2 linked regions of the Arabidopsis thaliana genome follow. The protein of the gene in region 1 interacts with the protein of each later gene in a biochemical or structural test. Each region holds a gene or a part of one and is shown on either strand. Other genes may lie near its edges.

Region 1 (5,494 bases):
TATTATTTTCTTTACAGAATCACAATTATAGTAAAAATACCATGGTCTTTTTATTTTTAATATCAATGATTACAAATTATTTTAGTATGTCAAATTTCGGATGATTATATATATATCTGTCAATCACCTAATAATCCCAACTACATATATAATCGGGAGAAATTGTTAGGAATGCCCTTTCAAACTACTCCTTTTCAATTCTATCATTTTTTGTAATTTATTTTCATTTATCCCATCTTTTGATTTTTTATGGTCATTTTACTCTTATTTGAAAATATTTTAGGTTTAAAAAATATAATAATGATTTTTCCTATCAAAATTATTCCGAAGATAATTTTTCGACCAAAAAAATCCGACAAAAATTTTCCCGCCAAACTTTTTTTTCTTCCAAAAGATCATTTTCCCCAGAAAAAATAATTTTAATAGAAAATAGATTTACAAGAGTTTTTAAAAGATTTACAGGGGATTTAAAAGGATTTAATTCCTTTTCTGAACCCGAAAACGATCCATATAGTGTCCCAAAGTCATTGTGCTTTTATATCTTAAAAAAACAGTACTACTATTAATTGATAATACATACATAATCAAAATGCTCATTGGCGATAAGCATGATAGTGCATAGATAGATCGGTCTATAAATTATACACATTACTAACGATAGTTGTATGTATATTGGAGAGTGAGAAGAGCCAAATAAAACATTTTTTCCCAAAAGTTGTGCAGGAATCAAAAGAGTCAGAGCGACGACATACTGACAAACATATTTGATTGCTTACTACTAAAAAACAACTTCCCAAGTAAAGAGAATGATCAACACAAACACTAGGCTTCTCTCTACTCTCTCTTCACATTTAGTCTCCTTCTTCTCTCGCTTTCCATTACCTCAGGCACGGATCATCTGTCGAATCACATTTTCAACAAAAGCATTTTGAGATTTTCAAAGTTCTCTCATAGATATAATGTCTTGTGATATAAAAGAATATGGGTGTTTTTTTCTTTTTTTTACCATTTTGCAGATGTTTCTTCCTTTCAATGTCTTTGAAGCTTCCTCAGCGAAAGCTTGAGCTGCTTCTGCTTCGGCTTCTGCTGCCTCCGCTTCCTTTGCAGCTTCCTCAGCCTCTGCCATGGCAGCTTCTGCCTCTGCTACTGCCTGTGCTGCAACTGCTGCCGCCTCATGTACGTTCATACTCTTCATTCTGGCTATCTCTGTATCAATCTGTGACCTTGTCTGAAAATTCACTTCATCTATGTCTGTTTTAGGTGAAGGCAAAGAAGAAGTCCTCTGTTTTCCTCCAAACACCCCCAGACCTTTTCTCCTGTGGGAAGACAAGGGAGTGGAGTTTGGAATTCTGTACTTACGTTTAACCTGTAAAAGAGAAAGCCCAGATCAATAAACCTCGCAAGTTGCAGTGAATAATGGATATGTCTCTGTTCTACTGACATCCATGAACTAAATTGATTTGCACAAAAAGTCATACATACTATTCAAAAGACCAAAAATATATGCACTCAAAAGCATTAAATGAATGTAGGAATTCTTACCTTCACAAGTTTCCCGCAAGATGTCAAGTACTTTAGCTTGGTAGACAACAAGCGTTTGAAGTCTGGTGGAGCATGATATTGATCCTACACAAAAAAAAAAAAGGAACACGGGTACAGTCAGTCCTCTAAATCAGTCTTTTACAAGGAACTTAGACAAAGAATCTTCAAAGCAGTAATCGTACAAGTTGAACTCAATATTTCCCATGCTTGAATCACATAAGTAGACGAAAATATTTATGTCATTGGCGTGTTTCTGAATTAACTACAGAATCTACTCTTACGATATTCTCATAATTATATCGACTTAAGTAGATGCCACCACAATAAATCTCGTAATTACAGAAATATTTCTAGCCCTTTCAGCTTAGTTTCAGTCAGGATATTCAATGCACATTCGTCTATTCAGGAGAGGAGAAGATAAAGATGTCACCCATTGCCTTGCAATAAAACTGCCACATCCGTTGCCTATATTGATATTGAGGAATATATTCTATTGACACAACCAAAGGCTATATTTTGGTTTTCATCCGCAATGCTTCACAGGTTCTAGTTGACAACATATCAACCCACTGAGGATCATTCAAATTGAAATGTAACACGATGCGATTTAGCTGAGAGTAACAATTTAATAATACATATTGTCTATGAGAAAAGAAAAAAAAGATGCAAGAACGAAAACAGAATACCTCAATGTAGGCACCAATTGTTGTTTTGTTACAGCCACCAGGTTCTTTCAGGGTAGCTATTGCTTCCATTATAAGGCTATCCAACCTGCAACGTTTTTAAAAGTTACAATTTGTCTATAATAAAAGATTTGAGTGATACAAACATCTACGTGTAAGTGGGACTTTACAAATCCTCATCATAATTTCACAATTATAAAGCCACAGTGATAGGATTGAGCAAACGGCTCGCATGATAATAGTAAGAAGGAGGAGAAATGTACTAAGCCAGTGAAGACAACTTAAACAGAGGTGTGAAAACAAACCCATATCACATGAATGTAATCCAACACTTATCGACTTGCACAGAATAAAAAGTGACGGCAAACCATACATTTTGAGATGTAATCCAACTTCAGAAATACCAGCGAGAGAGATACAACAAAGCAACTCCTCTTCAATACAAGAAACAAAATAGACACATTTCTAACCTTACATTAGGTCTCCTTGGAGGAGGATTAGAAGAAACTTGGAGTCCAGAGGTCGCATCCACATTTTCTTCATCACTTTGCAAAGAATTGGTTAGGGCTAGTGAGTTCTCTTCCTGTTTAGGAAGGGAGAACGTCCTTTTAACAGCTAACCTAGACTTTTCGCGCGATCCCCAGCCATTTGCCATGACACTCATGTTTCTCCATTTGTCCTGTCCCAATACAATAAACAAACCATCTCCCAGTCAGATAAAATCACAAACAAAATACAGTAGCATTATCAAAGCTGACAAAAAGGATAAGAAGTAATCATGACCTTAAGATCAACATTGGAACGCAGGTACAAGACTCCGCTAAATTCAGGATCTTTGAGAATTGTGCGCCATTTACCAGGTCCATGCTTTATAACTCCAGACTTTAAAGCTGACTCTTCTTCTTGAGTCCATTTCTGCTTAGGAGCACCCATCCCGATTTACGGTCTGCTGTGTCAAAGCAAGTCCGTTCTGCAACAATACATATCAAATGTCACGAAACCAATCAGAACTAAAGTTTCTACATAAAAATGTAAACTTTTTCTTCAGTTGTAGCTCACAATTCATCATCAAATACCACAGAATAGTAAAACCCTAATTCCCTGTTCCGAGGAAACCCTAACATAGATTATCAAACTATACCGCAGCAATAGTTCAGAAACTAAGACGCAATAGCAAACACCAACTTCACATCACTGAAAGATGCCGAAACTCAAACCCTAGAAAAATCCGTTCTTTCAGAATGAAGCCTAATCTCATGCTGAGAATATACACAATCGAGAAAGAAGAAACAGATGAATTCACCAGGAATCAGAGTTTAGAGGAAGAAGAATCGATCATTCGCAATACCAATTTTTGTTTAATCTCTGGATTCAGATTTCGAGACGCTTGGGAAGCAGAAAAAGTTAGGGTTAATGCGAATACAAGGATTCAGAGTAACGGACCTCCGTCAATTCTGATGCGGCAAACCGCTTAGACCAATTAAGCTTTAAACGCGTTTTTTCACAAACGGCCTTAAAACGCGTTTTTTACAAACGGCCTTAAAACGCGTTTTTGTTTACGCTAGTTATTATATTCTGAAGATTATAAATTGTCTAAATATTTACAAATTCAACTTTTAATAATGATAAAGAAAATATCAAATTCCCCAAATGAAGTGTTAATATGATTGTCAAGAAAATATATTATCAAAACTAATACGCAGTGACCCAGATCATATTTACACGAACAATTTGGTTTATGTTTGAAAGTTTTGGTGGTGATTAAAAATTTGATGATTAAGTGGTATTTTGAACATAAAATACAAATATGTTGCTAGATATAATTCAGAAATGTGTGGTGGGGTGGTAGTTGTGATATTTTTTTTCAAAAATGCTATTTTCATTTTATCCATAGAATTTTCTCTATTGTTTATTTTTTCTGAAAATTATCTAGTTGACTGTACCACTAATTAAAAAAAAATTGTGGACATGGTAGTTGCGATATTTTGAGAGTTTTCCAAATCTATACACTTGTTTTAAACACATTAAAAAGTTTTATAATTTATTTATTTTTGAATTTCTCCAAAATTTGAAATATAAAGATCATTTCGTAAAAAAAAGAAAAGTTCGTTGAACATAGTTTTAGTTGATTTGTTTTACTAGGTTTATTTTCTGCAGATGTTCAGTAAAAAGAAAGAACCTTCTCTAATTTCACCTAGATATTTATGATTTTATAATACAAACTAATTTCATATTTGGGTTTAAATTAATAATTGTCCAAATAATTTCAAATTACAGTCAAAATAAAACATTAGCAATTAGTTCCATCCAAAATAAATTATTAAATTACCAAATTAACATTTTTAGCTCATGAGCCCAAAATTATTTATGATATGAAATATGTACTTGATAATAATTCAAGTCAGCAACAATAATTCATCAAATTTATTTCAAAATAAACCTCCTTAAATCTTTCTGGATTTTTTAACTGATAATCCTATTGTTTTATCTTATTTTCATTAAGCCAACAATAAGTCATACCAATTAGTCATTAGTTATAATTCTTGATATTGGTTAAAGAGAATGTTTAAGTGGTGGATGGAGTTAGTTGTATACTTTTTTGGCATTAAGATGAGAATAATTTGCTACTTATAAAGACTTTGTAATATTAAACATCATATTCTTCACATGAATATACAAGTGGACAATTCTGGTTAAGTCACACCAGTGGTTTAATCCGGTTCATTTTTCTACGTATAGCATTAGTGTTAATTACGTGCACGAGAACACAAGACAGAAAGTAAAAAAAGCAAGAAAGAGTCAACAAAGTTGCCCGCCTAACGATTACTTAGCACTTTTGAATCCGTTTTAAGCAAAGCCTTAGTTTGAATTTACAGCTCTCATCACAAAGAGAGTAGCCCTTCTCGAAGCGAGTGAGATATGGCAACAAAGACCGATGATTTTGCACCATTTCCAGTTAAAGATCAGCTTCCCGGAGTCGAATTTTGTGTCTCGAGCTCTCCAAATTGGCGTATGCTTTTTTCTTTTCATTTAGATTTTGTTATATAGTTGTGTTCTATTAGCAGTAAAATTATGTTTAGTCTTTAGGATAATGAATTTATGTTTCACCGATAGTGATGAACTATACGATTTAGTTTAAATTAGGGTTGTATTTCTTATTAATCTACAAAACTCGTTTTTAAAGCGTTTGTGATTATTTAACAAAAATTTCAGTTGAAGCGTTTCCATTATTCATATGAGTTATTTAGTCGATCGTCACCAAATTCTCT
Region 2 (5,905 bases), on another chromosome or scaffold:
TTCTCCACCCACTTGATGAAACGTATCCAGAAGGGACCAGTCCGTGGAATCTCACTCAAGCTTCAAGAAGAAGAGCGTGAACGCCGTATGGACTTTGTTCCCGATGAGTCTGCTATCAAGACTGATGAGATCAAGGTCGACAAAGAGACTCTTGAGATGCTTGCTTCTCTAGGAATGTCTGACACATCCGGCATCTCTGCAGTCGAGCCACAACAAGCTATGGCACCAATCGCTGCTTTCGGCGGCAGGGCACCCAGAAGATACTAAGATGGCCTCAGCTAATCATCAGCTACGATTGGCTCTCTTTTTTCTCAGTTAGGGACAAGAAAGACTTGTGTGGTTGTTTATTGTTTCTTCTGATTATGTCTTAAACTCAATGTGAGACTCTTTCGTATTAATGGTTTTTAAGTTATGTGGAACCAAAATTGGAGTTCAAACATTTGATAGTACCAATACTTTTTGCTTATCAGATCCGAGTTGATTCATGGGAGAGTTGTTGTATCAGCGAAGATTGTGGAGTTTTATGAAGGACTGTTAGTGAAACATTCCACAGGTCGAAACCATTTTAAAACTTTGAACAAGGTAGAGTTGTTCCACAATGAAAATGTGTATATTGCCTGCTGCTTCTATTAACTCTTTAGGTCTAGAGGAAGATATTTTTGTGTTCAGTCTTTGGATTTGGTTAATATCATGAAGATGTTCTTTTGGTTACAAGGTCTTCATGAACTAAAACAACACAACTACCATACTTAAGTAAGCCAAATCCAACATTCTTAACATGAGCCTAATACTAAACTATTTAATCCTCTTTTAACACTTACAAATACTTAATGAAGTAGTCTAGTACCAAAGATTCTGTATAATCTAGTATTCCACGGGTCAGCTTTGTTAGTATAGTAGGAGAGGATGCAGCACTCGATCCATGGTGGATTTCTTGGAGCCACAAAGTTCGAGCTTTCCCGTATACCGAGCAACCAATTCCGCTTCTTCCTCAGCGTCTCTGTGTCCTGAAACCCTAAACCCCAAAAGTACTCCTGCCAATAAAATCTAGATTAGGCTATCAGAGACGATCTTTGTTGACAGTTTAGATGCAAATAGACCAAATGGTGTATTTACTGCGTCTTTATTGCATAAGAAAGCCTCTAAAGTCGCTGTTGAATCCTCCAGTGTCAACAAAACTTGGTGGTGACGGCGATTCTCATCTGAACAGAAATCCTCTACTTGCCAAGGATATGCAGCTACAACCCGAACAATACATCTGTACTTGCATGTAACCTGTAATAACAACGTAGGCGATCACATAAAAGTATTCTTAATCTTTTCAGGGAATACAGCAAATAGATTCATGAATGGTACCTTGGGGAATGTTATGATGTCCATCAGTGTAACAAATGGGGCACAATTGTCATCTGTCTCTGCAAGACACCAAGAATGTTAAGGAAGTCTGTCTAAAGATTGACACAGAGAAAAACATTCGTTGAGATTAGATCCTGCTCATTAAGTAAAAGAGAAGTATTGCAACCTGTTAATCCAGGAGGTGACGGAAAACACCAGAATGAAATGTGTCCCAACTTTGATGATAGTCTCTTATCATATATCCTAGTTTTTGGCACATTAGATTATAAAACAAAATGGTAAGAGATTCTCATGGTATGCAAAAAGGTCGGAAGTAGTTACTGAAAGAAATATCAAGAAGTACAAACCTCATGATCTTTTCAACTAAACGATCATCTTGAGCGAGATGATGAACCTTTGTAGAGCTGGTAACTTTGATTACCCAAGATCCTCTATCAACTTCACAGAGTAAATGGTAAAGTTTCACCCAATCACCAGGTTTAACCCGATAAAATAGATGACTGCTTAGATGAACTCTCAAGATCGTTCCAACGGTTGGAAAGCTGAGCAGTACATCTCTTGACAGTAAAGTATGAACAGAGAGACTGCTAAATGCCTTGTCTTCTTCACTTCTCCTGTCGATAGCCAAACATTGTACACCAAATAGAAGAAGAGTAAGCGTAGGATATGGAAAGCGTAGAGTCAAGCCTAAATGAATGACTCAAAACAGATAATGTGAGGATTTAAAACTTTTTTCCTTCGCAGTTAATACTCACTTAGCCAGAATAGATGCTGGGGGTGCATCAGTCCCGTCCCAAACAAAAACAGCGCTAGTATCTTCATCGGCATGGAGAATCTCCATCACAAGAAACAGCAGGAAACAAGGTAGGATCAGTCAACAAAACATAAAAGGAGCCAAAAAAAGATTTGAAGTAACAATGAAGTGGTATAGAGGAATGAAGAGTTAAAAAGCTTTCTCACAGTTAATAGAGAGTATAGAGCATATTACCCTGCACACCAAATCAAAGCGTTTTCCTATCTTGATCTCTCTCAAGAAGGAAAAAACTTCGGAGCAAGGTTTTGTTCTGTAAGATATACTCTGCATAGCTAAGTACCAAAACAGTAAATGAAAGCTTATGAGAATCGTTCCAAGCTATCCAAAGCCATTATACTATATGCATAGTTGAAAGCAAAAGAAGCTCACAGTGTTACCTTTAATAACTTGGCTACAACCCGCAAAAACTTTGCGTAAATCATCCATGGCACTCTTGTATAATGCTTCTTCTTCATGAAAATTGGTACTACATTGGTAACAAACAAAATCCACACCTTCGAACAAGGCAAAGGAAGAAACCCATCTACTACAAGCAGCATTTACTCTTTCTCCACTATCAAAAGTTTGCATCTACACAATAAAAATCCAAACTTTATAACCTCCTGCACAAAACACAGAAGGAAAATGAAGAGGTCTTTGTACCTTAATGCGAGTAAACAGAATCATGTCGTCGTGGTTCTTGATTTGAGGAAGTTGTTCAAGAGTCTTACTAAATACATTAACAGTAAGTCCAGGACTTGGATACGTATCATCAATTATCCGTAGCGTACAAATCCAATCTAAGAAAAAAATCCAACTTTCAGATTTTGTTGGGTCAAATGTTAGGGCTTTCACAAAACAAACCAACTAAGATTCAGATTCAAGCAAAATTCTATGTATTTAACTCAAATTTTGGTTTTTTTTGGATAAGTACCATTGTTGCGACATTGTTTTGGTTCTCTTTGTTCAAGGACGATACCAATGAGACTGACTTGTTGGTTGATGAGTTTAATGGCGTCTTTGATTTTGATGAGCTTGGGACTCTCTCTCTTCTTCGCCATCTCCCGCTTTGCTACAACGTTTTTAAGTATTATCCTGACGTCACAAAATTAGAGAGTGGTAATATGTGGAATGAGTATCAACAGAACACTAAGCACCAACCTGCAGCCCATAGCCAATAAGTGGAGTGAGTATACATTGGAGGCAATAAGTGGAATGAGTATACATTGGAGCCAATAAGTGGAATGAGTATACATTGGAGGCAATAGAATAGCCATCAACGGAATGACAATGCAAGGATATCAAAAGAACACTAAGCACTAACCTGCAGCCCACTGGAAGTATTCAATGCAGAATCAGACTGAAGGCAAAAAAACTTTATCTTTCTCTCACTTGAATCATCCCCTGGATATAGCAAATTTCATCACAATGGTGAGAAGTAACCAAAGCTAACAAATGTTCCAGAATATGATCCTTCCCTTACATCAACCATCTCTCACAAGAAAATTCTTCAATCCACAATTTTTACTACTTTTATCTACCAAATCCTCAAATCCATTACAATGAACATAATCCCATGAATACAAATGATATATTTTGTTGTGATTAGATTTTAAAGGAATAAACTAACCTCAAGGTCGTATCTGTGCACATTGTTTCCGGCGACGACGATTGCCACCGGAATGAGACCTTATCAATGATCAATTCCGTTAGGTATCGAAATTAGAACCCCTTCATCAACGAACAACACTAGATCTCTCCAGTGAAACGGCCGACGCTTCTCGATCCTCTAACGACGCTCTCAATTCCACATTCTTCTCGCCGTTCTCCGTGAAGTTGCTTCTGTGAAGATTCACTAAAGTCCCAATCAATGTAATCGGAGAAATCTCCGACCAAATCGCTATCGCCAAAGAGACTGTTTTTTTTTTCTTGTTTCTTTTTTTTGCCAAAAAGTTATGTTATATATATCAACCCAGTGCATCATCCAATAATGGTGAACCTTGGAGAGGCCAGTACAAACAGGATACAGAGATAGAATTTTTACATATCAAAGACGTCTAAGTAAAGATAACAACATTTACGTTACAGTTAAGGTACAATATTGAACTACCACGAGCATCTCCAAGAGATACTCTATCCCTCAAATATAAAGTTTTAGGTTCTCTAAAAGATAATCCAATATAATTTAGAGCATATCCAAAAGATATTTTATATATAGAGTATGTAAACTTCAAATATAAAGTATGAGTAGTTTCTTCTCCAAGAGTATACTTTAAATATGAAGTTTCTAAAATATGTGTTTTGCATTATAGTCTTTATATTGTTCATAATTATTTTAAAACTATATAACTTTAATAATAACACTAAAACATACATTAAAATATTACACATAATCTTAATTAACAAAACAATACATTTATAAATAAAATACATATAAATAAAAATTAAAAATACATAAATTAACTTATAAATTACAAATTACTCAATAAAATTATTTTCGTAATGCTCTCATATGTGATCAATCAATGCATTACGAAGAGATAGATAAGTCTCTTTATTTTTAATCTGTAGATTACGAGTCAAAGTGTTGAAATATTTTGAATATATAAAAATTAAAGGACTAAAATGATAAGGGAATGTGACACGTTTAGACACTTTTAAAGAATTTTATTCCTTTTGAGGCACTTTTCAGGGATTAGGCACTTTGCCATCTTTTTGAGGAGAAATTGGACTAATTTACCCCTGAAGTAATGATGACACAATAATTATTAAACTTATTTTTGATGAGATCGTGTGGGTAAGAAACTATCCCCCTTTTATCATCTCTCTCTTCCATATTCTTTTGTTTTTCATCATTTTCAATCTCTCTTTCAAAATCATTGTCGTTCTCTATAATTTTTACAAAATCATGAAAATTATGAGGTTATCCTAAATTCACAATCAAAATCTATGTTTACCCTAATTTTTTTTTTTTTTTTTTACTTTTGTATATTTTTCTCCATTCGCTGGAAAACTTATGGCCACCACCATCGTTTCTTATCGAAGGATTATTAACATTAGAAATCCAATTCGCCGAAGATTAAGACAGAAAATATTGGTCTCAACTCAGATCACTAAGGATGTTTGAATTGGGGAAGAAGAAAAACTGAATCATTGTTTGGGAGAGGTAAGAGCATCTTTAACCAAATTTTATCCTCTCTCGTATTGGATTTTTACTTGGCTTTATCTGTTTCTTAAGATTGAATGTTAAATTGATAAATAGTAAGATAGGATTCAATCCCAAGTTAGGATCGATTTGACAAATTACTTGAAGAATTTTAAATTAAGTAGTTGACTCAATCCCAAGTTAGGATCCAGTGATATGAATGTTGTGAATTGACATTGAAATTTGATTTGTTAAAATGCATCTAGTTTTCCAGTTAAAATTCTAATACCCTTCTCTGGGAACACCTTGAATTCCTTGTTTAATTTTTGCTCTATTTCCAGCCTATAGATACGTAGTTGGTCTTCAAAAACTTTGGCTAACAATAACTTTGTGTTAATCTCTTTCTATCTCAAAAATGCTAGGGAAGATGTGATATTTGGTTTTATTGGAGCTATCGTTTCCCAACAGATACATCTTCCGGATCTAGAAATGATGTGTTTAGATCACACACCTATCCACACCTCTATATCCATATGACTTTTTACATTAGCTGCAATCACCAATTTGTTTTGACAATTTGTTCACATGTATATGGATACTCTTATCATTGC

The links.
Region 2: the proteins of TRB1 (region 1) and AtPOT1a form a complex in vitro, tested with the Arabidopsis thaliana proteins (2 studies listed by BioGRID).

Annotation. Positions count from the first base shown.
Region 1 is NC_003070.9:18,493,556-18,499,049, forward strand, and holds TRB1 (telomere repeat binding factor 1), read right to left. Parts: upstream 3,764-5,494; 5' UTR 3,574-3,763; exon of another isoform or gene 3,367-3,573; intron 3,196-3,366; 5' UTR 3,159-3,195; coding exon 3,009-3,158; intron 2,905-3,008; coding exon 2,696-2,904; intron 2,314-2,695; coding exon 2,229-2,313; intron 1,627-2,228; coding exon 1,543-1,626; intron 1,367-1,542; coding exon 1,007-1,366; intron 899-1,006; coding exon 884-898; 3' UTR 516-883; downstream 1-515. Other genes in the region: AT1G49960 (Xanthine/uracil permease family protein), read left to right, coding at 5,145-5,235. UniProt on the Arabidopsis thaliana protein: Binds preferentially double-stranded telomeric repeats.
Region 2 is NC_003071.7:1,889,119-1,895,023, reverse strand, and holds AtPOT1a (Nucleic acid-binding, OB-fold-like protein), read right to left. Parts: upstream 4,341-5,905; 5' UTR 3,780-4,340; intron 3,554-3,779; 5' UTR 3,474-3,553; intron 3,311-3,473; 5' UTR 3,211-3,310; coding exon 3,084-3,210; intron 2,950-3,083; coding exon 2,813-2,949; intron 2,741-2,812; coding exon 2,548-2,740; intron 2,443-2,547; coding exon 2,345-2,442; intron 2,192-2,344; coding exon 2,112-2,191; intron 1,971-2,111; coding exon 1,704-1,970; intron 1,600-1,703; coding exon 1,523-1,599; intron 1,416-1,522; coding exon 1,357-1,415; intron 1,276-1,356; coding exon 1,117-1,275; intron 1,035-1,116; coding exon 828-1,034; 3' UTR 510-827; downstream 1-509. Other genes in the region: AT2G05220 (Ribosomal S17 family protein), read left to right, coding at 1-267. UniProt on the Arabidopsis thaliana protein: Component of the telomerase ribonucleoprotein (RNP) complex that is essential for the positive regulation of telomere length. Binds RNA non-specifically. Binds specifically single-stranded telomeric DNA.